3 linked regions of the Oreochromis niloticus genome follow. The main gene of each other region encodes a partner of the protein of the gene in region 3 in a complex. Links are inferred from orthologs where the notes say so. Each region holds a gene or a part of one and is shown on either strand. Other genes may lie near its edges. The genes, in order: stx16, fam91a1 and tbc1d23.

Evidence for each region.
Region 1: the proteins of tbc1d23 (region 3) and stx16 are in contact, whole or in part, in a crystal structure (PDB 8QQF), measured with the Homo sapiens proteins. The link is inferred for Oreochromis niloticus from reciprocal best matches to the Homo sapiens genes TBC1D23 and STX16. Residues at the interface, in NP_001186127.1 of Homo sapiens: Leu638, Asn639, Ser640, Val641, Val642, Lys643, Ile644, Thr645, Ser646, Lys647, Lys648, Ser661, Ser662, Ala663, Ile666, Thr683, Lys687, Ile690, Met691; in NP_001001433.1 of Homo sapiens: Asp209, Asp210, Asn211, Thr212, Leu213, Tyr214, His215, Arg216, Phe218, Thr219, Glu220.
Region 2: the proteins of tbc1d23 (region 3) and fam91a1 are in contact, whole or in part, in a crystal structure (PDB 8JJ9), measured with the Homo sapiens proteins. The link is inferred for Oreochromis niloticus from reciprocal best matches to the Homo sapiens genes TBC1D23 and FAM91A1. Residues at the interface, in NP_001186127.1 of Homo sapiens: Arg533, His534, Val535, Ser536, Ser537, Asp539, Val541, Gly542, Lys543, Pro544, Tyr545, Arg546, Val548, Pro550, Val551, Phe552; in NP_659400.3 of Homo sapiens: Arg49, Glu60, Arg61, Tyr64, Asp84, Ile85, Lys88, Gly89, Leu90, Arg91, Ile92, Thr93, Phe95, Ser96, Ile159, Pro161, Tyr176, Ile177, Thr178, Glu179, Asp181, Ile182, Lys190, Asp194, Ile197, Asp198, Tyr216, Asn217, Lys218, Gly219.

What each region holds. Positions count from the first base shown.
Region 1 is NC_031970.2:24,759,339-24,767,360, forward strand, and holds the start of stx16 (syntaxin-16), read right to left. Parts: upstream 3,024-8,022; 5' UTR 2,659-3,023; coding exon 2,533-2,658; intron 1-2,532. Other genes in the region: dgkab (diacylglycerol kinase, alpha b), read left to right, coding at 6,104-6,189, 7,438-7,514, 7,797-7,941. UniProt on the Homo sapiens protein: SNARE involved in vesicular transport from the late endosomes to the trans-Golgi network.
Region 2 is NC_031985.2:21,449,141-21,456,412, forward strand, and holds the start of fam91a1 (protein FAM91A1), read left to right. Parts: upstream 1-4,224; 5' UTR 4,225-4,469; coding exon 4,470-4,541; intron 4,542-5,663; coding exon 5,664-5,748; intron 5,749-6,545; coding exon 6,546-6,697; intron 6,698-7,272. UniProt on the Homo sapiens protein: As component of the WDR11 complex acts together with TBC1D23 to facilitate the golgin-mediated capture of vesicles generated using AP-1.
Region 3 is NC_031980.2:37,092,893-37,100,383, forward strand, and holds the start of tbc1d23 (TBC1 domain family member 23), read left to right. Parts: upstream 1-4,442; 5' UTR 4,443-4,558; coding exon 4,559-4,596; intron 4,597-6,170; coding exon 6,171-6,282; intron 6,283-7,491. Other genes in the region: tomm70a (mitochondrial import receptor subunit TOM70), read left to right, coding at 343-440, 534-656, 2,074-2,227. UniProt on the Homo sapiens protein: Putative Rab GTPase-activating protein which plays a role in vesicular trafficking. Involved in endosome-to-Golgi trafficking.

The sequences.
Region 1 (8,022 bases), on a different chromosome or scaffold from region 3:
CATATCGGATAAAGCGGTTGGAGCAGTTTCATTGAAGAAGAGACTAAAAAATTTGAACAGATATTGAGAAGACGCTCATTCGGTCACAAGAGATTGTCTGTAAATTTCTATTCCGTTCTTCACTGGCAGCTAATATCCTGCTGAGTAAAATGCTCATTACGACATTTTCACTGTGAATGGTTAACAGCGAACTAAATCTATCTGAGAAGAGATGATGGGTACAGAGATAAAGTCAAAAAACAGGTGTGCAGGCATGCAGAGGAGGTAGGGTTGGGATGGGAACCGTTCCAGTTGAGAACCAGCATTAAATTTTCTATTCCCCTGGAATCTTGTGCATCAGAGCTTAACAATGCCTTTCGTTAATGCTGACATGTTTTTCTGACAGCTGACAGCAAAGTGATTGGGCTGGAGTGTTTCCACGTGTGAGCCTTTTCTCTACTCTGGTTCTACACTGTGCTTGGACGAAGAGATTTTTTCAAGCAGAAAATTAATAAGGAATTAATATTTCAAAAAATCTTTATCAGTGTATGACCCAACACATTTCGGGAGTGTAACTATCCAAAGCCAAATTTCTGGGCTTTTTAACACCAGCTGTTCTGTAGATGAAACAAAATGCCAAGAACTGACTGAGTAATCTTTTTTTTTTGGTTCTTGGAAGGAAAAATAACAGACAGCGTATGACAAGCCATGTGCCCTATTAGGCATGAATCACCCTCCAAAAAAATGAAGCCACAGCAATGCTTCCATCTTCCTCACTCTGAGCTTGCTCCCTGTTGCTCCTGATCTAAACCCAAACAGGACACTCTTACAGAGAGGTAGTGTTGTTCCAGGAGCAACAGCCATTTAAAGGGCTCCACTCTCTAGATGTGCCTGAAGAAATCACTTGTGTTACTGAGAGATCAGCATTTCCACTTCGCTCGGTGCCACGGGGAGTGGCAGCTAAGTAACAAAGGTCGGTTTTGTTACTAAAAATTTTCCCCAAACAAATGCAGAATGTGTTAACCGTGATCTCTGGGCTTCCAGCGGGAAGAAACTAATCTACACCAGCGAGCCGGTAGCATGATAAAATGTTCACAGCAGAGTGTGAATATTCACGTGTAGCATACACCTGCCCGCTTTAAGAAGCTTCAAAACTGTGTCAGGGAAAGTAATGACTTTTTACTGCGGTGGAGTTTAACCTAAAAATATAAGTAGGTCATGGAAGAATTTTTAATTTCAGTTTGTTTGTTTTTTTGCATCAACATTAAATACAGTCTTTTTTTTTTTTAATCACTGCTAGTCAAAAAAAACATGCCAGCATTTAATGTTTTAGCTCTCCAGCAATGAGCTCCATGCAGTGGCTGCTGTTTTTAGAAAAAAAGAAACTAAATCATTATTCAGTGTCATGGAAATCACTATCAGAAAGAACAGCTCTGCTATAGAGGAACATATAACTATATTCTTCTTGTATCATGATCACTAAAAAGCCCACTTGCTTTTCATTATAACTGCATTATATAGACAAAAGTATCTGGCCACACTTCTTAATCATTGCTTTTATGAGCTTTGGCCCTGAACTCTTACTTCCAGAGAAGGGAAATCTGAATGCTCCAGCTTATCAGTTAATAAAAAAATCGGAAGCTGGAAGTTTAGAATTGTGCACCATGATAAAGTTCATATTCTGTTTCAGTATGACTGTGCTCTAGTGCACAAAGCATGGTTGGATGAGTTTGGTGAGGAAGAACCTCACTCGTCCACCTACACAGAGCACACTGAACTAGAAGAGAGACTGCAAGCAACCAACATCAGCGTCAGATGGCACAAGTGGCCTTCTGCTTAAATGGGCAAAGAGTCCACGTGTTGAAATGGAAAAGTGTAGCAATCAATTTAGAATGGGGTGTTATAAAAACTACTGAGAATGTAATATGTGGGTGGGTGGCCCAGTACTTCTGTCCATATAGTGTAATAATTAAAGTATAGATAATATTTCTCAGTGACAAACATTTTCTAGGAAGCTTTAAGAGCATTTTCATTGCCTTTGCTTTTCAAACTATTGTATTTATTTTTTTAATAACTGCAGAAGAGAATCAGCTGCACTCTAGATCATTTACAGGTCACGACTCAGTATGATGCGGACTTTTGAAAGGCCACAGCAGTTTTTTGTATTGTTTTTTTACAGTGAGGCGCACGAGAGGATGCTAAGAAAATGAAATCAACCATAACCCTCAGTTAACCTTGACCTAATTATATATATATATATATATATATATATATATATATATATATATATATATAAATATTCTTGTCATTTAAAAAGGGCGGTTATAGACATTTAACTAGCTAAAAGCATGCCTGCAACACTTCTTCATCCTCCTCCATCATCGCCTCACTGAGTCACATCACTGCGAACCACTGAAACACTAACGTCGTGGAGGTCGTTCAGGATAATAACTAACAGCAGCTATCACACAGCTGGATCTAGCTAACAGGGATCGGTGACTGGCTATATGCAAACACACACAGTAAAATGTCAAAACGATGCAGACCACTCACCGCAGCATTGCTACGTGTACTCAGACGGGGGTCGTATGTACTCACTTGCTCAGCCAATATCTGCCGGTTTTGGATTGCATTGTTCCGCATTAACAAGAAGGCATCTGTCAGACGCCTAGTGGCCATGACTGCCTTGACTGCGTGATAATCTAAATTAACAAGGGGACAAACTGCGGATCGAAAGATGCTTTATTAAATTGAGCCAACTGCCTCTGACCCGCTGCTAACACGGCGCTAGCTTTAGCTTTGCTTTGCTTTGCCTGCGATGAATGGTGAGGAAAACTCGCGATGCAGCGCCTACAGCGGGAGGCACACGGCCTGAATCATGTTGATCCGCTAACTCGCTCTAATACTGAGGTAAAGAAAACTAAACATGACCGAGACTTTCTGGTGAAATGTCCGCTTTAGCGTCAGACTGGTAACGTTGTTACTCCGCTTTAGGTAGCTACGGAAGTAGGAGAACGTAAACATCTGCGTAAACCAATTCTTCTTCTGCTCATTAACTGCGCTATCATCTGTAACGGAAGTGAGTCTACGCCACCTACCGCTTCAGCTGAGAACATCAGACAGAAGCGTTTCCAGGGCGGCACCAGGAGGTCCAAAACCTGTTAGGGAAATTGGAAATAAAAACCAAACAAAAGCACTTGAAAACTGGTTGTAAATTCAGTGAGTTTACATTAGGAGACATAACAGCCTAGCTGTAACATAGCGGCCTCCCTGAAGCACAAGGTTTAGCAGTCTTATACCGGGCTCATTGAAGACATAACAAAAAAGAGACTGCCACAAATTAAAAATTTTTACTGAGCCAATTTATTAATCATAATCTGAGAGAAGATGAACAAAAGAAAGCTAGGTGCTAACCTATAGACTTAAAATAGGAAAAACTATGACACATGCAAACGAAAAGAAAACCAAGTTGGCTGCCTGAAAGGCACCAGCCTTCTGGGGCGAGGAGAGTCATTCAGGTATCAGCAGCATTATACTGCAGCATATACTTGGATACAGCCAGGACAATGCTTGGCATATGACAAATACACAAGACTGGCAGTACAGATTAAAGGTTTTACAGTTTTACAACTATTTACTTTCATCTTTCATCTTGGATTGTTAAATTAGGGTTGCCAAGGCTGCTCTGACTTTCCAAGTAGGAAATCCGAGTTGTTGGTGTTCAAGCTTTCAAAAATCTAGAAACTTATTGTTTTCTATCAAGAATGAAAGCAACATAGAAAACAGGGTGTTACACCTCCTTATCCGGCTTTCAAAAACAAGAATTGGATTTAAAGTTTAAATTTAATGTGGCTTTTCCCTTACCCACACATTAGGCAATTTTTTTAGGGAATTTCTAAATGCCTCGAGTAAAGTCTTTCCCCCAACGTATTCATTTAAAATTGAGCTTTTTTTTTAGACTGAAAAGGAGAAATACTGGAAATGTGCTTACGTGGAGATTTACATATGTTTATACAGAGTAGAGTGTTATGCATCATGATGCTACCAAGGCACAGATTTTCCTCAGTTTGCACCTGAAAAGAACCACGCAACTTTATTTTGTTGGCTTCATGAGGGCACCTGTTTAATTCATCCTGAGGTACCATGAGTGTCTGTACCAACCTTTGAGTCAATCAGAGCAGGGCTGATATTTCAGAATGACTGATATTTGTCAAGTACTCTTTTACAGTGCACATTGTGAAAAATGCTTGAGATTTCTTTATAAATTGTGTAATAACTTGTGTAATTTGTTTCCCCAGTAGATGGGCTCTGTCTTACTGTTTACAATAATTTCAGCAGTTTCTGCAGTACATGTAGCAGAATAGCATCAACCAATAACGTGGTGGTGGGGAGGCATCTTCACTCAAAATAACTAGCACTGTGAAATTCATTGATAGAATCTGAAAACAATGCCCCTGTCATCTTTTCACTTTAACACTTTAACAATATGTATAAATATAATAAATATAAATATATAAACTTATATACTCGCCCATTCACTGCACTGCTACTCTTTTAAGCAAATATGTAATCATGCAATCACATGGCAACAACTCAATACACTTAGGAATCCAGACATGGTATGGTCAAAATTTGGTGTAAATAATCTGAAAGCATGGATCCATCCTGCCTTGTATTAGTGTGAGTTCATATATGTATAAGGATTTTATTATTTTCTAAATATTGGCATTGACTCCAAAACCCACTGGTAACACCAAAGAAAAAAGAACACCATTTAAACCAAGAACATTTAACAGTTTAACAGCTGCCCCCTCAATAAAAAGATCTCTCGACCCCACCAACGTCTGTCTGTGGCATAATGTCCACATGTGAGAGGTCCCGATTTACGATAAAAAGTCATGTTTTGCACCAGAAGTCATGATTTACAACAAAAAGTCAAAAGAACATTCAGGGTGGAAAACATACTGTGAACAGTCCACGCACAAGTGGGACTAAACTAAAAAACGACACGTGAAAGCCGCTTCACCGGTTTGTACTCTGAGTTTTCATTCATTCACACCTGCTCATGCATTCCGCTACTTTCTAACTTCCAGCCTGACAGCCGCAGTATTTAGATGTGTTGACCTGTAAGGGTACAATAGCGCTAACGAGTGTGCGCGCGTGCGCCTTTCTGTGCGCGCACGCGCTAGGCGGTGCCACTATTTGTAATTATGTCGCTAAAAGCTCCTCCTCCGCCCATTCTTAATCCCTTATCCGCTAATACCGCAGTAGACATTCACCCACAACTACCAGCTGCCGTCAAACAGCATAGCAGCGGTGTGTGCTGCTGGAGAAGCCCCGAGAGACTTTATTCGCTTCTTTTTTCCCCACCCTCCGTCCGAGGAGAGAGAGTCAAGGTAAGAAGCCTGTTAGAGTTCACGAGCACTCCTCCTCCTGTCCGAGCACCTGTGCAGCATTTCGAGAGCGGAACAAGTTAAAATATTATGTATATGTGTGTCTTTGTGTGTGTTGGTGTGTGTGTCAGCCTGTCTGACGTCCTGGCTTCACATTATAATCCTGTTTGATGGATGCCCCCTTTTAAAATGGGTCTTAATTGCTGCTTTGCTCATTAAACTGATGGGAAGTTAAAAAGTGGTTTTAGCCGGACAGGCACACCTGCACAACCAGAAAATCTACAGGCCAGTGTTACATCTACTCCTCCACTTCTCTGCTGCTGGCAGTTGATCGACAGTAGTCACAATCTGAAGCTCTTTATGTTATTAATTGTTACTTCTCAGCTATTCATCCCAAACTTTTCCCCATTCTCTATGTTTACAGGGTGATACGATCTGATTTTAACTACTCTTTCCTGGAAATCAGCAGTGGTCAGTTGAGCAATGTTGTTTTAATAGCAAGTTTTTGGTAGATTGGTATCCGTTAAGAAATGCTCCTTTGTGGCAGTCCCAGGAATGAAGGCAAACCAGTTCTGCTGACACAAAACACAGAACATGACGTAAAACATGTTACATGTATGGCTGCCTCCTAGTTTCTGCAGTCTCAATGGCCGGGTTAGTGCTGTATCTCGGTGCTGCCTGTGTTATCGACACCTCTGTGAATGTCCAGTCATTGTTCTCTCATTCTTCAGGCAGCTGACCGGGATGGCCTCCTCTGATGATACAGAAGGGTCTCTGACTCCTGTGGATTTTATCCAGCTGCAGCACTACATGGAAGGTAAGTTTCCATTTTCTACATTGTTTTTTAACCTGTAAGTAAAATAAACTGGAATAATAATCATAATAATAATAAAGTTGACATGTTTATTACAGATTAAAAATGTATATACAAATCCCTTTACACCAAGCACTTGATGCACACAAGATACACTATTGTGTATGTATCAAAGACATAAAACTAAAGCAGTGAGTGATTACTGAGGCCAAAGACGACAGCGTCCAGGACAGAATATTAAAACAATGTGTGCATTCAAACTGTAATTAGAGCCACGCAAGTCTCAAGTGCATTCTCACTAATAAAATGCAGTGTAACTCAATACTCTGGCAAATTTCCCTGTTAAATTAATAAAGCAGCAGTAGCTCAATATGCCATTTATTTCGCAGTGTCAGTTTATGACTGTAAATCTATTTAAAAAAAAAACCCATCCATGTACACTGAATTCAGCTTTCACTTTTCTGAGGATGAACTGGCCAGATGTGGCTATGATAGCTCTGCTCTCGATCTGTGTAACTGTCTTCCATCTAATCTCAACCCTAACACACAGACACTGGAAACCAAGTCACACATTTACAAAAAAGTGTAATTTTTACTTTATTTTACACTTTTGTTTCACTCCTTTTTAATGAATTAAATATCTGAGCACTAGACGATGTGAGAATAAATACTGGAAGTCTTCAGAACAATTTATGGAGGCAGTGAAACATAAGCAAGATAAGTGGAGACGGGAGTGTCACAGGCAAAGTCCAACAAAAATATGAAAAGTTAACTTCGTAGATCTAAGGCTGCAACACCTGTGCACTCTGCTCCTGCATGTAGGCGGAAATATTTCTGTTAAAATTGCAGTCGGGATCACTGCCTTACTTTAATGCTACTCATTCAGCATCCACCCCAAATCACAAGCAGCAACTCCCAAACATAAGTGCATGCTGTCCCTCTGCTGGGGCTGGAGCGAACGCAGAATGACATGCACATGTTGACAAAAAAAGTGTGCGCTAAAGGGCTGAAAATAATCCACTGTCCACTCAAAGGCTTTAGAAGAAATGAAATGGGTCTGTAGGCTTTTAGTGTTTGCACGCTGGATAATGGATGAATGGATAATTACACTTGCTCCTCTCCAGACCTGGGAAAGGTGCTGTGTGTGCATTACCTCACACTGCAAGGCCCAAACCCAGATTTAATGGCTGATAGTCACAGTGTATCCACATCTACAGCTACGTTTTGACCACTCTGATCTTCTCCCTGCAGAGAGCAATTTGAGGGTGAAAGATGTGATTAAGGAGTTTCATCCAGGCGGTCGGTTCTCTAAGCACAGCTTTGGAGAGGTAACTTTTTTAGGCAATCATATACTATATTTCCCATGTCAAATGTTCCTAATACACTACTTATTACAAACAAATCAAACATGAATTTATTAATATTTCTTATTAGTTGTAAAAGTTTGTTGTACCTCTCAATGTGCTTGATTAAAAACAGACAATCTTTTTAGGAAGCTTTCTACCACTTTTTTATGGCATTTTCTAAAAATCATAGTCAGATTGTCGCTATGAATGTAAATGTTTTATCCTTTTGCGTCATTTGGAAATAACTTCAACTTCTCTCTTCAGTGCGTCGATGCCGAGGGCTTCTGTCTCTTTCTCAAGACCTACTTAGAAGTGGAGGACTTCCCTGCAGATTTCTGCCAGCGGCTTTTTCGTTATTTCCAAAACGTGGAGCAAAACGGCTCCTCGAAGAGCCCTCAGCCCAAAGAAGGTGAAGACTTTTTATGTTCTGACTTTGTTGTCTTTTAACAAAACTGTGCAGCACAGAGTTTAGGGGAAAAATGTTCTTTGC
Region 2 (7,272 bases), on a different chromosome or scaffold from region 3:
TTGAGATAAAAAAAAAGGATTAATTCCAAATGAAAGACAGTTTAAGCATTACCCAGAGAGAAAATGGGTAGTGACTCAGGGAAGGGTTTCCAGTTAGGCGCTGTGGAGATTGCCATGAGGCCACTGTGTACATTCCTACAGCTAAGAATAGTATCCTGGGCCACTGTGACTCCAGCCGGGCCTCTCATGTGACACAGCGCTGTTTGGTACCCAGCTGCCAGCTTAACAACTCAGCCAGGGTCCAGCGGAGGGAGTGTTTACAATAGCCGCAGGAAGGGGAACCATCACAGGGTCCTGACTCAGCCATTGTTCCCACCCAGGCTGGTCTTTCATCAAAGTGTCCCCGAGCTGCTAAACCTTGTCCATCTTCTAGTGCCGTCCAAGTTCATCCCTCCTCCTCCTCTTCCCCCTTCCTCATGTGTGTAACCCAGGATGTAGTCAAATATAGAAAGGTGCTGATGGGTCACTTTGATCAGGAGAAACAGCTGTAAGAACTGGGCTCAGTTTTATAGGTGTGGTGGTGTTTCTGTTTGTGTCCATGAACGTGCACAACTGGACGTGACCACTGTTGCTATTAATCACCTGTTTGACAGTTAACTCGTTGCACTGTGTGTGTCAAATCATCAAGAAGTATTTGCCATACCTTTAAAAGTTGAGCAACCAAACGTGGGGCACAGGTACATTTTAGGCCCATGGAGGTCCACATTTATATCAGATATCATGATGTCATCATGTTGCCAGGTTGCTTGGCAACATGATGGCTAAAATGACTCATTACCGGCATTTATGCACCTGTAACACCTTATAAAAGCGTCATATAATTTTTATTTCGCATCAGTAACATCTAATTTCTATCCAAAAAAGCTGAATTATGTGTAATGATGTCATTATGTTGCCTGACAACCACATAGCAACTGGCCAAAACGACCCATTATTAGCAGTTATGTATCTCTAACAGCTTATAAAAGCGTCATATAATTTTTATTTCACATCAGTATCATCTAATTTCTATCCACAAAAGTTTAATTATGCATAATGAGTATAAAATGATGCAAAAAAATGCAGGCTACCTGTTTTGTAGCATTTGTGCACCTGTAGCACCTTATGAAACCATTCTTTCTTCTTTTTAATTTCATGACAGTACATAACTTACATCCAAAAAAGCTGAACTACATGCCTGGCAATCACCTAGCAACGGGCTACAGTCACTCATTTTTAGTACATAAACATCTGCCAGCCTATTTTTGAAAAACAGACCAAAAACTACTAGGATCAGCATTTACTACTTTCAAAAATACATGCAAATTTAAAAGGACGTAATACATTACAGAGAAGTGTTTTGTTGATAGCGATCGGTGACTCTGAAAGTTGAGGCCTGGACCTCAGTGCATTAGCAGGAGGAGAGTTAACTGTGAGGCTCATAAAATTACAAGCAGTTTATTAGTTAATCACTTTTTGTGACTCCCCCGTGTGTACTCAGAGTGTGAGTGAGTCTTACAATAATAAGTACTGTCTCTAGAGGAATTACATGATCAGTACATAAAGAATAGCTGTTGTAAGAAATTTAAAAAATTGATTATTAGACATTATTTTATTAATAAAACAAGCTGCTGCTGCTGTGAGAAGACATCATGTCAGATGGTTTGAAATGTAAATAAAGTTGACAGCTTGTTTCCTTTCCTTTTTATTATTTACATTAAACACACGCAGAGGAGTAAAGCTCAGGGTTACAGAAGGTCTGATCGCTGTTCACAAAGCAAATATGTCCTCTGCAGCTCACAGCAGTAATCAGGTTAGGTATTTATTTTAAGGTGAGTCATTGTTTGCTGTTGCATGGCTACAGCAGATCATACTTAGGCTTCCCCTTGCTGTTAAATCCCACTTTAACCCCTGCACATTAAAGCCTTGAGACTATGGAGAACTTTAACAGTATATTTTTAAAAATGTATATTTAATTAAAAAAAAGGAAACACTATTCTTCCACCTCTATGCTTCTAGTTTAGAAACAATGTGTGTTTTCACAGCTTTTATATCATACTGTAGCCTTAGATGAGGTGTTTCACAAGCAGACAACGCTTTATTTTAAGAGATCACACGCCAAAGAAGGCTGGGGAACACTGTTACAGAAATAGGCTGCAAAGATTTCCTTTCCTTCAGAGATCAGATTGAGCCTGTTGTGATATTTTTTCAAATCAATCTTGTGTGACTTTACAGAGACATTTAAACCTTCTTTTCCTTATATTATCTGTGAGCTATAATGTCATGAGGATTCTCAATCTGCAGCCCCTTTCTGCACTCCATGGAGTTATGCCGGTTGTCTGCCAGGGAGATGAATTACTGTCATGTTTGCTTAGCGGCATATGACAGGGAACTGAAGTTACGTGCAGGCAGATTGAATGACATAGCTGCAAGAAAGTGAGCTGTCAGCAAGCCAGATATCATGACCCAAGAGCAGAAGCCACTTTGGTGTTGCAGTGAAATCTTACACTGAATCACCAGTCACTAAGTGATAGTTTCATGCTTACAGGTCGGATTCCTGTAAGAACAAAACTGCAAATCAAACAAAAAACAACTCGTAAAAACTCCAGGTCAAGGTGCAGGGACAGATTTATGATTTTCTATTTTTAGTTAATCATACCGGTTTCAAACCTGAATTTTGCTTTTGTTTCTGCTGCTGAATAATGATCACATTAACCACTCACTGAAATATTGAAATATACTGTATATATTTTCTGACCAGAATGAAGATATGATAACAGACCTACTGGGACAGAAGGTATATTATCACACTAAGGGCTTTTTTATGGTGTGAAAATGAGAGAAAGACAGATTGGAGGACCTAAAAAATGAATGAATTTCTTTTCCAAAACGTAGTCCAGGTGATAGAAGTGTTTTAATAGATCATTTTGGCTTTGCACTTTTATGTCTCACAGGGAAACGATGGCAGCATTTCCAGCTACTTAACCTAATTATAACGCCCTGTGTTAAAGATGACTGTGTAGTTAAACCACCAATCCAGAGTTGTGCAGATGCAAACCTGACAGTTTGCATGTAGAACATGCAGGTAGAACAGGAGATTAAATGAGATAATTTATGTTTTTAACCAAATTTATCTGCAAGTATTGCACTGTGTTTTATTGTATTGTCTTTCTGTGAAGCTATAGTTGGTCATAAGTGGGACGATGATACTATGACAACATGTTGCCCACAGTTTGTGAATGTGAATGTTTGATACACAGGGGAGACTTGTAGAAAAAAGTGTTATGAGTACTGAAATTGGTTAGAAATAATATAAATGTATATGTACCAGACCATTTATCAACACCTATAGTATTGTTATATGCTACATCAAAATATCTGTGTCTGTGTGTATTATCATAATTTTTATATTTCAGTAATGCCCCCCCCCCCCCCCCCCCCCCCCCCCCCCCCCCCCCCCCAAGCTAACAAAGAGGAAGCAATAATAAGATACTGCTGTATCAATATTATGCCCCACACTAAATGCAAATACTCACAGTGTGAGTGTGAAAAATATGCTCATAGCCTACAGACATATATAATATTTACTCCAGTTTGTGCAGGATTCCAAAAACTTGCAGAGCCCTGCAGGTTTAGACTATTCCTTAGACTTTTCCCTCAAACAAAAGAATATATTTTCTGCATCATCAGTGATATGGACGGGCTCTGGGGGATGGAGGCCCATCCAAAAATGTCACTGTGCCTCTCAGCTGATTTTTTCTGACACTAAAGTCATATGGTTTAGTCATGAAAATTTTAACACATGTTATCGTAGTAACAACAAAGTAACAACAAAGCCCATGTTAATTATTTGGTTATTATTATTATTTGGTTATTATTGTCTCTGTGGAACTAAGAAGGTTATTGCTTTAAAGCTTTAAAGCACTGCTTTAAAGACAGCTTGAGCATGACCTCAAATGAGACTTATTAAAACAAATTATGTTATGCTGCACTCCCCAGTCAAAGTGGCCCATCCAGTCAGTCAGACACGGCCCTGACTCTCTGGTTTTAAAGCTTCACGTCTTCATTAGGAATAAAACAGGCTGCTGTGGGGGTGGAAAATGCTCCACGAGTGCTAAAAATGCTAAAAAATTAATAATGCAGTAATAATCGCACTTTAAGGATAAACCATTGATTCGGACGGCGCTAACATCATCTCTCATTTGAAACCCCGCTCTCTCCAGCTCCATTCAGCTCCACGGTCACTCCTTAACAGGAAGTGACGAAAGTAGCCACGAGCGTGACGAACGGCTCTTTCGAAAATACAACAAGGAAGTTACGGTTTATTGTGAAGGAAAATAATCGCTGGAGAAAAAAAATCTCCTAAAACCGGGGGTCCCTTCGCTCGGTTGCTGGGTGTCCGGGGGGGACGAGGTCACCGTGGACTTTCCCGAGAGCCCGTTTCCGATCGTCTCGAGGAATTCTGCTTGTAGCCAGCTAGCTAGCTAGCGATGAACACGGACGTGGAATTTCACATCAGGCAGAATTACCCGTGGAACAAGCTCCCAGCTAACGTCAAACAGGTACCGACTTCTAACGTTTCCTGTGGGTACGGAGAGAGGGGGGACACCGCAAGGGGAACCTGTCAATGTCACCGGGGCTGCTCTCTGTCATACTGGCAGCTGTCAGTGTCGCACTGCTCGCTCCCCGTCCTCTGCAGGGGCTTCACCATCCAGCCGGAGCCATAACTGACCATCATTACACTCCAGCTACTGAAGCCACACTGGCATCACATGACAGTTTGTTTGATTGGGTGGGGGTGGGGGGCACCACATGATTTTAGAGCGTGTATGGCACCCGCACATACGGCTTTTACGTAGTTGTGCCTGGTGCATTTAATGCTATTGAAATGTGCTGTTACAGTTAGTCAGTAAAATGCATGACCCCCCTTCTCTTCTTGTGCCACTACGCCAACATGTCTCGGTGAAGAGGAGGTGGGTGGATGAGCTGTTTGAGCTGCTGCATCCTCATGCACCCTCTGAAAAGTTGGATTACTCATCAGAAACAGTGAGACTCCAGGGGCCCCTGGTGTACACATCTGGCCTGATGTGCACAATATAACAAGTTTTCTCTCTCTCAAAACAGCTTCAGATACAATATTGAGCTTATGCCCCAATTCCATTGTTAATTTTTATTTAATTTAAAATATCTTTGCTCATTTTTTGTGTGAGTTAACATGAATCCAGGGGCTACCGTGGCTCTAAAACCTGTGGATTACATCATGACTTTGACACATAAACTGTTCAGTGAGGATCAGACAGGTTATTGCTGATATCTGATCTGCTTAAGGTCATTATTGGTCCAATACCAACCGGTGTATTGGCCTTGTAAGTAACTAGAAGTATGCTGTAGGCTGTAGGTATGCGCTACCAAAGCGCAAAATCAAGCTCAAGATGATGCTTCTTGTTTTATTACCTGCCTCCTAGCCTGTGTCAAATTCAAATCCCTCATTGCATCTTTGCAATTAATATGGTTTCACACGTTTCTCAACACATATGACATCACATCTAATAGCAGCAAATATTCCAGTATGGAAAAATATTTCACAGACAGCTGGAGAACAGGAGGTTTAAAAGAGGCACTGTTTGGTTTCACCCCCTGGCACATTAATGTGGTCTCACCTGTTCATTTTCCTTTCTCTGCAGAGTTTGGGGAACTCTCAGCGCGAGTATGAGAAGCAAGTGCTCCTGTACAGCATCCGCAACCAGCTGCGATTCCGCAATAACCTAGGTGAGCAATATTACCCCCCCCCACACACAGCAGTGGTAAACATACAGTGTGAGCGACATGATGTTTGAGTGTTAGATTAAAAGACAGACAGCGGTTTGTGGCAGGATAAATATAACCCCACCAGAGAGTGCTTGATGATGGGCAAAAACTTTCTCACCATACCACCTTGCAGAGAAACATACCCTAGTGCCATTTTATCATTGCAGTAAGACTTCTGATTTTATAAAAGTCTATGGGAAAACAGCACTAAGCTTCATGGCTCTGTGACCTCAGTAAACACTTCTCTGATGGAACTGTAATCCCACTCTCTGCTTTCAAAGCAAATTCAGCAAAACACAATGTTTATTTTGTAAATTATGGTCATAATTAGGAGGATAAACCAGGGCACGGCTATTGGATCCTGCTTGTCAGTTAGCGAGTGAGCATGCAGTGTCCTCTGGTTCCCAGTTAGAACTAACTTTCACTCATTATGTCAGGTTTCAAAAAAAGTTACAGCAAAAACAGTAAGCTCAAGGGTTAAAAATGGGACTTCACTCACCTGTGGGTGATGTCTTATTAGCTCTGTCCATGTTTTGTTCTGCCTTTGGTGTTGATCATAGGATTATCCTTCATATTTGTCCTGAAAAGGTAATATACAACTGAAAATACTTGTACTGTTAATAATCATACAGTGGCTAAACATGTGTATGTACCTGTATAATAAAGTGCATTATGTATTACATCGAATCACTTTAGTGATGTTGATGTTGAGATCATTTCTGTATGTGCACTCTGACTGCTGTTTGTTTTCTGAGCAGTGCGCCATGTGAGGAAGGATGAGCGCAAATATTATGAGGAGCTTCTGAAGTACAGCCGGGACCACCTGATGCTGTACCCCTACCACCTGTCTGACATCATGGTCAAAGGGCTACGAGTCACTCCGTTCTCGTATTACATAGGAATCATGGAGGTAAGCAACTCATGCTGCGTTGAAGAGTGCAATACCAGAGCATTAACTTTGCTCCCATTATCATAATCTCTGTGAACAGCCTCTCGTACACCTGAACATCTGTCGTTCTGTCAGTTCCCGTTGGTTTTAGAACAATGAGGCAGGTAAACCCAGAAGAACAGAGCAGACATACTTATTGTTCAACGGCAAAGGTTTTCTTATTGACTGAAAACATGCAGTCTCTGCTCATTTAAAATGAACAATGTCTTCAGTTTTTGGCATCCCTGGGAATGAGTGCAGGAACTGCAGGGACAAAACAAGGAATCCAAAAGACCAATACAAGTAGAGGGATCTGAGCTTTTCACAGCTCCCAGCTGTTTAGTTCAATGTGCTTTTGTTGCATGAATAGTACGAGTATACGGCATTGTTTGGTACACCTGAGTAGATGTGCTGGATTATTATGGTCAGCCTGCATAAAGGATAAATGGGTGTATTGTCATTGGCTACAATGATTGTGTGTTAGTTCATTTTTAACCTAAAAGGTAAGATTGAGGACGTCATAAGACATTGTGTAGCTTTAGAGAATAATATGCTAT
Region 3 (7,491 bases):
GGAGATGGATATAAACAACATGTGACAAGAGACTGTAGTGTTACATTAACACATGAAATAGTAATACCATGTGTTTCTGTTCTGTTTTAATACTTATTTGCAGTCTTCTTTTTTTTTTTTGTCTGTAATACTTTATAGTAACAAAACTGCTTATCTTGATTTGGCCAACTCCTCACGATATGTATTCAAAATACCCATAAATCCTTACCATTTCCCAGATTTGTATGGAAATGTGGTTAATATGTGCAGTGATTTATTTTTAGTGAAAGCATTATAATCCTATTGGGATGGTATTTATGCCTGGCTGGCACGTTTTTACCAGTCCTCCTGTGTACTTCTCAGGCTTTGACTGATCAGCAGCAATTTGGAAAAGCCGATGAGATGTACGACAAGTGTATTGAACTGGAACCAGACAATGCTACAACATATGTCCACAAGGGGTAAGGGTTTCTCCCCTGTTATGTGGCCATATTGATCCATATAATATCTGATTTGTTTGTGTAAATGTGACATGTTGTTCACTCTGTCTCCAGTTTGTTGCAGCTTCAGTGGAAACAGGATCTCGACTTGGGTCTCGACCTCATCAGTAAGGCAATTGAGATCGACAACAAATGTGACTTTGCCTATGAAACCATGGGAACCATTGAAGTTCAAAGGTGAGTCACACAGTATCTGAGTGTTTATTCCCAGGGAGGATTTATCTGCTGCTTTGTAATGTTTTCAGTTGTACAAAGATAAAAATGGTAGCATGCTGGTATTTCTGTCAAGATGTTTTAGGGAGTCACATAGTGTGCTTTTTTTCTTCTTTATAAAACACTAATTGAGAGAAAGCAGTCAGCTGCTGTGCTGTGTGCTTTTGTGTTGCCCCTAAAGGAATATATTTGTACCATTTTGAACAGGCTGGTTGAAGTGTTACAAACCTCATGTTTGAGGTTTAAGGATCTGATTCTGACTTCAGGTGTGACAGAATCCTGGGGCTGGATGAGCCCTTGTTAATGTTATGACCCCTGGATCAACAGAGGGAAAGGAGGAATAGGAAATATTGTAATCCTGTAACCCGTCTCCTGCAGAGGGACTTGACTCTGTCTCAATCTAGACTTGCCCGTGGTGAGAGGCTGTGGGCTGGGGTGGGTATCTTAGTATCCCCTCAACTTGCTGCCTGTAAATTGGGCTTTTCTCGATTGACAAGAGGGGTTTTTTTCCCCCCTGAACCTTTGGGTCAGGGAATGGGTGCTGACTGTCATCTGCACTCACCTGAACAACAGTTCAGTGTATCCGGCCTTCTTCAAGCCCCTGGGGACTCTGTCATCTTACTGACAGACTTCAACGCTCATGTGGGTAACAACAGTGAGAGGGGCTGAGCTGTCAACTGATCACCACCTGGTGGTGAGTTGGATCATGTGATGGGGGAGGATGCTGGACAGACCTGACGTGCCTAATGTTATAGTGAGGGTGTGCTGGGAATGCCTGACAGAGGCCCCGGTCTGCGAGATCTTTAACTCCCATCTCCGGCAGAGCTTCAGCAGCAGTCTGAAAGAGACAGGAACAGACTGAGAGCGCCTCTATTGCTGAAGCTGCTGTACTAAGCTCTGGGTGCCTGTCGTGGGGCGTCTGGCCCATTGCTAGGAGCCATTCGATCTTTATACAATTGTTGCAAGAGCTTGGTGTGCATAGCTGACAATTTAGACGAACTCATTCTCGGTGGGTGTTAGACTCCACCACGGCTGCCCTTTGTCACTGATTCTGTTCATGATTTTATGGACAGAATTTCTAGGTGTAGCCAAGTGAAGGAAGGCTTCCACTTGGGCGGCCTCAGAATCTCATCTCTGCTTTTCTTAGATGATGTGGTTCTGTTGGCTTTAGCAGGTGGTGGCCTCCACCTCGCACTGCAGCAGTTCACAGCCGAGTGTGAAGTTGCAGCTCCCAAAAGAATGATTCCTCCAAGAACTTAATACTCTGATGACTGCAATGGAAACACATAGTCCCTGGGAAAAAATCCCTGTGGTGGTAAAAATGATCAAATCTACACATTTTTCGAGTGCTTGGTATAACTGGAGTGTTTTCTTTTCACAGGGGCAATCTTGACAAGGCGATAGAGATGTTCAACAAAGCAATTAACCTAGCGAAGTCAGAGATGGAGATGGCCCACTTATACTCGTTATGTGATGCCGCCTACGCCCAGACAGAAGTGGCGAGGAAGTACGGGCTGAAACCTCCGACGCTGTAACCGTTTTGCCAATGGATCGCCAATCTCAGTCTTCATTGCTGAATCTAACTGTGTTAAAAGTGCAACTGTCTGACTTAACTTTGATTTGTTAAAAAAATAAATACTGGATGATATGGGGGGAATTTAAAAAAAGAAAAAAAGGAAGAACCCTGAATATATACTGTGTTTACGTCACATTAAAGGGGATTATTTTCATGCAAACCGGATTCGTACTCACAGTCAAACTGAGGCTATGATCGTGGTCTCTGGTAGACTCAGTGGTTTATCATGATGTGGGCTGGGCTGGGCTGGGGGTGGGTGGGGGGTATTTTAACGAACACCGCCCTTTTTGCTGACACTTAATTCCACAATGGCATCATCGTCAAATCTTTGATTTTTATGGCTCAGAATGAAAATAAAGGTTGTCATTTATGGAGGGAAAGTGTACATGAGTGAGATGTATACTTGTCAGAAGATTTAGAGAGAATTGAAATGTCCAGTCTGTTGAACCCACAAGCGTTTTGAGACACTTTTAAATCTACAGACAATACTGTGAGAGCTATATAGTTCCAGTGGACTGTTCACTTGTTAATTTATGCTGGTCTAAAGTGTTTTTGTCCACCTACTCCCATATTGTAACATACAGTATCAGTTCTGAATGCAAGATTAAAATTATAGTCAAATGTACAATGTCTGTATTGAAATGCTGGAGTTGATCCCGGGATAAAAGCCTACAGAGTTTAGGCAAAGTTGGTCTTTTTTTTTCTTTTGTTTTAAATGGTGGGATTGCCTGTTTTCTTTTTTATATACTTTGTGCAGCATGTTCACTTTATAAATAAATGTAAATGCAATGCTCGTGCTGTCTTGAACACTAGGAAAACCCTTTTTCAGGCTTTTGGTTTTTTTGAAAACACTGATTAGACAAACTTAGCCAACTTTGTTTTTAGTTTTTTTCTTCTTCTTTTTTTTAAATGTTGTATTTGGAGTTGCCTCTAGTGTCAGAACGGTATTCAGTGGTTTTTCCCCAGCTCATGTTAATTGGGAAACCTGATTCTTTTTCTAGTTTCTGTGAATTTTTTTTCTTCATGCTACATTTCCTTTTACTTTTGACAGAATATTTTACATAGTGGTTTAATTCTAATTTGCTTTTTTCATCTCTCCTTTTCAAACAACCCGAGCCTTATCGTCTCCAGCCTATGCAGCTCTGAGAATCTCTTGGTACGGTGTGTGGTTTGGTTCTCAAGTAGCATCTGTGCACCACTGATGATTGTACATCTGGAGCATTTTTTTTTTTTTAAAAAGCATTGAAAAGCTCCCGTTCTCTGTGACATTCATTAGTTTCACGCCCAGTAAACTATCACTGCATGTGTGGTGATGCCAAGGAACCAAATCATGCATTGTGAGCTGCAGCTGGTGAGACTGACTCCAACTAAAACCATATTTACTTAACCTTCAGAACATGGATGTGACCTAGATTTTGGCTGTTTGATATAAAATACACTGACATTCTGCATCTACCATACGTGTGGTGACCAAAGTGAAAGAGAATGAGTCCTAATAAAGTTATAATTCTTGGATTGAATTTTGCATCTGATCATTTCTGTTCACCCGGATTGTGCAGCACATTGTTTTTAAATCCCTGTAGTTAGAAACGAAATTTTGTTCTGATTATCTGAAACTTTGATATAATTTTACAGTTTTTCTGATTTTCTTGCTAAGTAGCACACGTAAGTATTAAAGATATGTCTATTGAACAGACTTTATAGGGTGATTTCATAGCATTTCCTAAAAGGCCTCACACCTGACCTTCCCAGATTTCTTAAATAGGAATTTTGCAAACTTTCAAGCCCCTACTGTGAGGAATTTTATGAAGATAGGGCTGATTTTAGATCTTTTTCTGAGGGGCCATTTTAAAATCGCTAATCTATAAAAAACACTTAAGCGTGACCTTACAGGTGCTTTAGGATAAATCTCCTGCACCATAAATATGAATATGGACTCTTGGGACTAAGTAACTAAGTAATTAATTACTTTTGAAAATAAGTAATCAGTAAAGTAACGGGATTACTTTTTGGGGGAAGTAATCAGTAATTAGTAACTGATTACTTTTTTCAAGTAACTTGACCAACACTGGAAGTCAGCACATGTTGATGATGTTTTCTGTTTTTCTCTGTTTGTTGATCAATTATTAACTTTTTAGCGCCCCAAATCAAAGCAAACAAGTAGTTGTCTCATCAGTTTCTTAGTCGCACTTTGATTTCACTTGTCAATCTCGGTTCCTCGTTGTTCGTTGACGTCACCGCGCATACCGGGCGTGTTGACGACATCTGACGTGTCTCCGTCAACACAACAATGGCGGATGCCGTGGAGGAAGCTCTTCAGGGCAGCTGGTGAGACAATTTGTTGTTGAGTTAATATTTCCGGAGCCTTTGTCTCGATTGTCAGACAATCGCGTCGAATTTTTGTCACAGATTTCCGTGTAAAGTAACTAAAGATGAGTTTTTGTGCTCTAAATAGTGTTGGAGTTTGGTGACGTTACTGCTTACCAGCTAGCCAGCTAAATGACAATTAGCTAACCCGGCTCTGATAAATTAACGGTCGATAAATCTCAGACAGATAAAATAACAGCTTTTAAGTCTGTTCGGTGACGAAGTCTACATTTTTGTCGGTTTCTCTACCTCAGTGGGAAGTTTAGTAGCAAAGGATGTTAGCCGGACAGCTAATATTTAGGCGGACAGCCGCTTCCCTTTAATCTACTCCAGCCTCACTCTGTTGTTCAAAATTTATTTTACACTGAAATATTGAAAAGTGCTGGTTATATCTAAACACTTTTAAAGCAGCTGCCATTAAGATGGTTAGCATCGTGAAAGCGGTCTTCATGTGTCAGATTAAAGGACAAACCTGAACTATGGACCTCCTGCAGAGAGGGCTCTGTTGGTGCGTGTCCATTCAGATCTATCGTGAAATGTTTCTACTTTGTTAAGAAAGATCTCTTCTGTGACACTGCCATTTGTCATAGTGCACAAGGGGTCACTGAGGAGTTCCATGAGTATATATGTGTATATATACAGTCATCGGAGATTTTGAACAAATGCGTTAGACACTGTTCTTTTCCGCCTTCATCAAAACGCCAGATGAGGAAATATCTAAAAATGGTGTTCATCTCTTTAGAGATTTGGAGAACCAACACACAGATTCACAGGGAAGCTGTCCTGACCTGATGTTGCTTTTTATGATGTTGCTGTATTGTTTTCCTCTTGAGTTTGTCACCTGTCTGTATGCTGAGTTAAATTAACATGGGTTTAAAAAAAGATTAAGATGTAAATTAAGAGCAATAAACAACACAGGGCATTTAGTAAAAGCTGACATAATTTACATAATTACACAGATGTGAATAATGATTGAGTTAAATATGAATTTAACAATAATGCATGTTGTTAACCCTGTTGCCTCACAGCAAGAAAGTCATGGATTTGAATCCACCATCTGCCCGGGGTCTTTCTTTGTGTTTGCATGTTCTCTGTGTCTGTCTGAGTTACTACTCTCGCTTCAACAGTTAGGTTAACTGCTGATTCTAAAGGTGTAAATATGTGTGTGAATGGTTGTCTAATGTCTTTGTTAGCCTTGCGACAAACTAGCGACCTGTCCATTGTGTACCCCACTTCTTGCTCTATAACAACTGGGATACACTGCAGCCCCCTCAGGAAGATGGATGTATGGATGTATGAAGATGGATGGGCAGTACAACACAATTTTGAAGACTGGCAGTTTTGTCGTTTATAGTGGTATTATTAGTAATAATATTGTTTCTGCATCAGTGAGCCTTTGTATGGGTTTACTCTGAATCTTGGCATAATAATTTACCTTAAAATGAACTCTTCAAATCTCATGTTTTGTTTTCAGCCTATGAACTTTTCTCTTTATATTTTGTGGGATTGTAACTGTGCCGTTCGTTGCTCTTCAGGGACCAGGACCTCGTTGACGCACTTGACTCTGGTGGCTCAGACATGGAGATGGAGAGGGGCACCATCCAGGTCCAGGAGCAGTCAGCTGAACACAGGGCAAAGATGTGGAAGGTGAGAAAGTTGCAGCTGTTAGATTGTGGTTTCAAACAGTTCTTAGACATGTACAACATACTTTGTACGTCTATGGACAGAAGCCAAGAATTCTTACGTTAAGGTGTGAGTAGACTGGATCATCTCTTATTGGCACACCCAAAGAAAAGACTTCACTTATGTCTTACATCACATAACAAGAGTCAGTATTGTATGTCAAGCATGTGGATGACAATAATGATGCTACTTATAGGTTACTGGTGACTGACTCGTCTTGGCTTTGCATGCAAAATACCAGCCTGTGAAAAGACACGTTATCGGCTACACCCAATTGTAAAGCAGCTTTGAATGGGATGTTTATTGTGTCTGATAATAGGCTGTTTGATAATATCATTAGGAGACCTTATCTTTTAGTCACTGTGTAAAGTTCAGAGAGCCTTTAATTTTACACCTCATAAAATTGAATAATTTGGTTTATTAAAAAAAGTTCAAATAATGCTTAAATTAATCAAACAAAAAAGTACAAAGGTGTTTATCAGTGCAGGAGAGCAGATATAAGATTTCTTTTTTCACTTTAGGAAAACCTTAAAAATGAGAATAATGTAGGTGCAGTTTCTGTTGTTTGTGTCAAATTCTGAAAACATTCTGACCTAAAAGTAAAAAATTTGCACTTTGCTTTCATTTTCAGATTCTTCAATTGCTCCATTAATCATCATATAAATCATAGACTGTAAACTGAAATTCACTTGGGGCCACATGTGAAATGACAAAAAATATCATGGGCCAGACATTTACATTTTATTGATATGTTATATAATTGTTTATTTATTTATATTTAAAGCTAAGCACTCCGTTTACCAAAACAAAGTAATGGATTCTGATTTTAAACAACCTGTTTCACAAGCCTGAATATAACAACTCTGTGGAGTGGGCATCTGTTTTGTGATAGCACATCTAAGCCAAAATTCCTAGACCTCCTCCTCACCAGTCACTTTCTTTAGCTCCTCTGGGAGTCCTGGGTCTGCCTGAGGGTCATCTCCTAGTTGGACATGCCTAAAACCGATGACATGTCCAGGAGGTATCCTGCTCAGATGCCCAGATTACCTCAAAAGGCTCCCTTAGAGCAGTCGGCCGTCAAAAAGAAGAAAGCTCATTTCTACCATTTGTATCTGCAGTCTCATTCTGATCATAGGTGAGAGTGGGAATGCAGATTGACCAGTTAATCAACTA